Kluyveromyces lactis: one gene and its partner. The main gene of each other region encodes a partner of the protein of the gene in region 2 in a complex. Links are inferred from orthologs where the notes say so. Each region holds a gene or a part of one and is shown on either strand. Other genes may lie near its edges. The genes, in order: MRPS9 and RSM28.

The links.
Region 1: RSM28 (region 2) and MRPS9 share a complex: the UniProt entries of both Saccharomyces cerevisiae proteins name them as parts of the mitochondrial small ribosomal subunit. The link is inferred for Kluyveromyces lactis from reciprocal best matches to the Saccharomyces cerevisiae genes RSM28 and MRPS9.

What each region holds. Positions count from the first base shown.
Region 1 is NC_006042.1:1,963,128-1,966,250, forward strand, and holds MRPS9 (mitochondrial 37S ribosomal protein uS9m), read left to right. Parts: upstream 1-1,502; coding exon 1,503-2,396; downstream 2,397-3,123. Other genes in the region: KLLA0_F21010g (zinc-dependent alcohol dehydrogenase), read left to right, coding at 1-876; MHF1 (Mhf1p), read right to left, coding at 2,496-2,813. UniProt on the Saccharomyces cerevisiae protein: Component of the mitochondrial ribosome (mitoribosome), a dedicated translation machinery responsible for the synthesis of mitochondrial genome-encoded proteins, including at least some of the essential transmembrane subunits of the mitochondrial respiratory chain.
Region 2 is NC_006039.1:1,053,341-1,056,419, forward strand, and holds RSM28 (mitochondrial 37S ribosomal protein mS46 RSM28), read right to left. Parts: upstream 1,693-3,079; coding exon 679-1,692; downstream 1-678. Other genes in the region: CORVET complex subunit VPS3, read left to right, coding at 1-590; TPT1 (tRNA 2'-phosphotransferase), read right to left, coding at 2,103-2,813. UniProt on the Saccharomyces cerevisiae protein: Component of the mitochondrial ribosome (mitoribosome), a dedicated translation machinery responsible for the synthesis of mitochondrial genome-encoded proteins, including at least some of the essential transmembrane subunits of the mitochondrial respiratory chain.

The DNA of each region.
Region 1 (3,123 bases), on a different chromosome or scaffold from region 2:
CCAACCAAATTGCCATTAGTTGGTGGTCACGAAGGTGCTGGTGTCGTTGTTGCTATGGGTGAAAACGTCAAGGGCTGGAAGATTGGTGACTTCGCTGGTATCAAATGGTTGAACGGTTCTTGTATGTCCTGTGAATACTGTGAATTGTCCAACGAATCCAACTGTCCAGAAGCTGACTTGTCCGGTTACACTCACGACGGTTCTTTCCAACAATACGCTACTGCTGATGCCGTTCAAGCTGCCAAGATCCCAGTCGGTACTGACTTGGCTGAAGTTGCTCCAGTGCTATGTGCTGGTGTCACCGTTTACAAGGCCCTAAAATCCGCCAACTTGAAGGCCGGTGACTGGGTCGCCATCTCTGGTGCTGCTGGTGGTCTAGGTTCTCTAGCTGTCCAATACGCCAAGGCCATGGGTTACAGAGTGTTGGGTATCGATGCTGGTGAAGAAAAGGCTAAGTTGTTCAAGGACTTGGGTGGTGAATACTTCATTGATTTCACCAAGTCCAAGAACATCCCAGAAGAAGTCATCGAAGCTACCAAGGGTGGTGCTCACGGTGTCATCAACGTCTCTGTCTCCGAATTCGCTATCGAACAATCTACCAACTACGTCAGATCTAACGGTACCGTCGTATTGGTCGGTCTACCAAGAGACGCCAAGTGTAAGTCCGATGTCTTTAACCAAGTTGTGAAGTCCATCTCCATTGTCGGTTCTTACGTCGGTAACAGAGCTGACACCAGAGAAGCCATTGACTTCTTCTCCAGAGGTCTAGTCAAGGCTCCAATCCACGTCGTTGGTTTGTCCGAACTACCATCCATCTACGAAAAGATGGAAAAGGGTGCTATCGTCGGTAGATACGTCGTCGACACTTCAAAATAATGAAATCTCTTCCGCATTCAAGTCATGACTTTTTTCACCTTTTATATGTTTCCCTCCTCTCTCCGTTTATATAAAACATATCTGATCATTACTTCCCACTTATTCCGCCTGGTGTAGTGCTACTAGATCAATCCAACTTTATAATAAATCATTTTATAGACCTTCAAAATGAGACACGATATAATACTTTAATTCTTTAGCTCTTTTATAATAATTCTTACCACCCAAAAAAAAGGGAACTAATAACACCATTATACCATTACAGTACACATTGCGACCATCACCCTTAAGGTGAATACATCTGACCCCTAAAACAACTGGTACGTTCCAACTAGCTGACCTCTTAAGTACATCGACAATGTTCGCTTCGACCATCACACTGTACGAGTTGAAGTTCCATGTCTAACTCTGTATACATTGTCACTGGGAGCGAGCCAGACACGGATCTGCATTTCTAGATTGAAAAACTGAGAAAGTGAAAAATTTGGAAAGCTCAACCAGAGGTAGAGATAGAGATAGAGACAGACATAAATTAAGCTGAGCAGTCTTTATCTTAGTCGCCTGAGGTCTTTCGTGAGCAGTTTCCACAGGGATAGAAGGGGAGACTAAAACCAAAGATCAGAAAAATGTTCTCACGTTTAACTGGTGTCTCTTTGAGACAGGGTCTTACGGTACAGAAAAGACTATTCTCTTATGCCAGGCCATTGTTTAACAGCTCGGGGTCTGAGAGGACCGGTTCTGGTTCAAGGCAGTACAATGATGGCGCCCGTGCTGGTGCAGAATATGGTTACACAGGGACTAGAATTGTGCCTAAGTTGTCTACTTTTTACTCCGCCAACCCACATCACGAAGCTCATATCGATAACTTAGAAGCGTTGTTGAGGAAATATATCAAATATCCTACCGTCCAAGTGGAAGAAAGGCCTTCCTGGTTGAGTTTGCAAGAGTACGCTCTAATAGGTGGTGGGTCCCGTTTGAAATCTACCCAGTATAAGCAGCTTTTGTTCATGTTGAACCGTTTGAATTCTATTGATCCACAGTTGGTTACCGATGAGATTTCGAACACTTTAGCGAAATACCATAAGAAGACGAAGTTGCAACCTCAAAGAGATACTTTGAAGCAATTAGACGAGTTTGGTAGAAGTTTGGCCATCGGAAGAAGAAAGACCTCTACTGCCAAGGTATATGTGGTTCGTGGTGAAGGTAAGATCTTAGTTAACGACCGTCAATTAAACGATTACTTCGTTAAAATGAAGGACAGAGAATCCGTAATGTATCCATTAAAAGCCATTGACAGTGTTGGCAAATATAACGTCTTTGCAATGGTTTCCGGAGGTGGTATTACGGGGCAAGCCGATGCCTTGATGCATGCAATCGGTAAGGCATTGGTTGCTTTCAACCCACTATTGAAAACTAGATTGCATAGATCCGGTGTCTTGACAAGAGATTACAGACACGTCGAAAGAAAGAAGCCTGGTAAGAGAAAGGCAAGAAAGATGCCTACCTGGGTTAAGCGTTGATCTGATATTAGTCTCTGACCTTTCCATTAAAAAAAACACATGCTTGTTTCACAAGTCCTGTACATATATAGCAATTTTACATAATTTAACAAGCTCCTTTCACCTTTTACTCTGTCGTCCTACGTTAGCATCTCGTAGTTCCATTAGTCGTAGTTTCAAAAAATCTTGTAGATCCTTGTTCTTCCTTGTTCGTAGTAACATATCTTCAGACGTAACAACATTTCTGTTAGCATGTTGGGCAAAAGCTTCCAAATCACCACCAACCTCACATATCTGCTGGTAAACCAGTTCAGTAAGAGTGTTGACATATTTTGAATTGTATTTTACATCTTCTGGTAGTTCTCTTTTGATAATCGATTCCACATAGAACCACAGCTTCCCGCGTAACTGGGATCGTAATCTCTTCTCTTCATCCATATTTGATCAACTGAACGACGCTACCATGAATAGAGCCCACAGGACAATGCCAAGTCAGGAATTGCCAGCTCAAAACTCTAAACGAACTGCTCAATCGATTGTAATCTTGTATATCTTGCATATCTTGGATATCTCCGCATTCCCAATGCATATCAATTATATTCATGTTTTCAACAGTTTCCAGAATAGAGGCAATTTGCATATATATAACGAAGACAACAGAATGTTTGATATCAGATAAATAAAAGATGGAGATTACAAAGAACAGCGTTAGAAAGTGAGGCGCAAACGTTTTTCGTGAAAATTACTA
Region 2 (3,079 bases):
TTACGGAGTACATTACCAACATGACATATAACAAGTCTCCTTTCAAAGAGTATTTGAAAAATAAGCTGGGTGAGAAAAAGGAATATGAGGGTTGCTTCGATGTAGGGACCAAGCTTCTGAAAATAGAAAAGGCTTTAAATATAAAAGAAGGTTCTATTATTGATGATATCGATGCTTCTTTCGTTCTACGAATCATGATCACAGATATCAGTGTATTAAAGGAAAAGATCGGGTTCGAAAAACTACTTGATATATATTTATCACGGAATGATTTTGCTACGGTGGAGTCCTTGTTACAAGCCAACGATAAGGTAGTGCTGAAAGTTATCGATCACTATCTAAGTCTCAACAATACTAGGGTCATTAGTCAATTCCTTAACAAGAATACGTGTTGTATAAACGACTCTGGGCTACTTATAGAAATTTTGGAAAAAATACCCCCAACCATTCAAATATCAGTGTTATCGGGTTTCCTATTTCCGTTACTCAGACGAAAAGACGAATCAACATATAATCTACAGATTAAGAAAGGAATTTTAAGGCATCGTACTCAGAATATAAACAATATCGAACGTTGTTTAGAACTGTGAAATAGTGTGATATATCATTAAGTGCATTGTGAAAATATATACATGAAAAATAGAGGTTAATCTTGTCTATAGGCGATCTGGCTTGTAATCAAGCTGTCAATTCAGAGACTGGTGCCAAACCGGAACAGACTTTTTGCAAAAGTTCTTTTTCAGTTGAAGCCAAGTTGCTTTGTTCTAAACTCTTTCTCACAATTTCGCTATTTTGCAGAAGTTGCTCTCTTTTGTCTTCTGCTTTTGTTAGTTTGGCAAAGTCCTTCTTTGTGTATGGCTTGAGAATGTGGAAACTACCCTTGACGGATTGCTCAAGTTTTTCTAGATCCGGAGAAATTTGGATGTTTTTTGTCAACGGTTCCACCTGCAATTTCAAAATGGAAGCTGGCACGTATTCACCAAAGTTGTCTTTGTTCGCTGTCATACGCTTACTGACGTTCTTTCCATTAATTGTGACACCATCATTCAATGAACGATGCACAGGGAAGTCGGCGTCTTTTAGTGTTGAAACTGCATATCTGAATGTCCTTGCACTGAAAGTTGGAGCCAGAGCAGGTCTGTATCTTAGCAACGATAACGGTGTTGGATCTTGTGGAACATATACAGCCGAGTTGTGAATATTTTGCACAACGTTTTCCGATCCCAAATTACTGGAAATTTTCAACCCTGGAACGGTTTTACGAGTTTTCCTTTCATCGCTTCTACGATTCTGTCTGGTACCCAAATTTTGAACTTTGCCTGAAATCTCACTATACTCATTAGTACCGGTAATCTTTGGTGTCTGTCTTTTAGCCGTACCTGTTTGTACTACCGGGCCATTGGTTCCTCTAGTATCCGTTCTTTGTGTTCTTTCTCTAAAATTTTTACCACCACGGTCTTGACCATTACGGACTTGTCTATTATCCCTGGGTTTATTTCCTCCGGATCTGTCATCAAATCTTGCTGTTTGTCTCTTATCTTCCCTCCCAGCTGACCTCACCTTTCTGTCAGATCTTGGTTTACGTGGTTCTCTTGCCTTGATAGGAACTTCCTTCACTCTTTGCAAAACTGATGCTAAAAAGTCCGGAGAGACAGAGCTATAAGCCCTTTTAGAGAATGTAGAAGCTAGCATTATTAAGTAAATATATTAATGCTAGTCACACACTTAAACAGATCACAACTTGATATAGCGTTACCTGGTTTATTACAACCCTATACCTAAATATCTCCGTGATACCATAAGAACTAATCAAGTTCATCATACTGAAACGAGTTTCGCACTCTCATAGGTTTTATGAAAGATCAAAAATTTTCAAGGCGTTCAAAATGATAAAAACACACGTGATCTAAATTTCTTATGATGACAGAAGGAATACAACATTCGGTGGGTTCTGACGTTTTGATATGAACTTAATACAACGGCGAGTACATACAGCGATATGCCTCGTCTAAAAATTGATGTTGTCAGTGGAAAGTCTAAAACAAGTCAATTAATTATTAAGAGGTGATATATATATGTATAGATAAAGCGATCAAGTCGTTTCAGATAATCTCGATTGGAACTTTCATCTCTGTAGCCAACTTTTTTAGCTGTTGAAGTTGTTCACTAGATGCTGCAGATCTGCCTTTCCGTACTTGGATGAAATCAATAAATTTCAACGGTATGTCCTGAGAAGTTAGGTAAACATTATTTAATGATTTCACAAGGTTGAGGCTGTCTAGCATTTCCTGGATCCTTTTGATATGGATGTAAACGTTACTAGAACTTCTCATTCCACTGATGACATCCGTATCTTTTCCAGTAATGCCGGGAGACAAATGAACATGGTTCCGTGACATTTTTTTGATGAAACCTGAGTGAAGAATTGAAATGCAGTTTGATACGTTGGTGCCATGAACCAATTTACTTGATAGTTGTTCTATGTTGGTAATTGGTTTTAAAACGTGTTGCGATGGAGCAATTTGCTTCAATGTATGTCCTTGTGTTGCACAGACGTACATTATCCCTGTATTCGGATCAGTTTTGATATGAAATCGTTGCTTGTCATTACTAGCAACAATATGCTGTATTTCTGTTGACGTTGCTTTCAAGCTTTTGAGTCTGTTATGCTGCAGTATTCTATCCAATGCAATGTAACCATCAGAATCTATAGGCAAGTTTTCCTTCACAGCACCATGTCTCAGCAAATAAGCCAATGCTTTCGAAATTTTCACACTTCTGTCCTTAGGTTCCTGCGAATGCGAGGTGTTCATAATGGTTCAGTTAAATCGAGCTTAGCACTTTCTGTTTTCCCCAATAGCTTTGACCATGTCGTTCTCTATCGGTCATACATAACTAATGGAATGAAATATATATGACAACGAAAAAATAATTGGATGGAACCTAATATGAGTCAGATGACACACACGAACGTATATATAGATGTAAACTTAGGAATTACAATGTGCACTGTAGGCACCGTACGTAAACGCCTTGAAGTTGCATAGTAAAAATGATAAAATAGAGTTTGATTAAATAA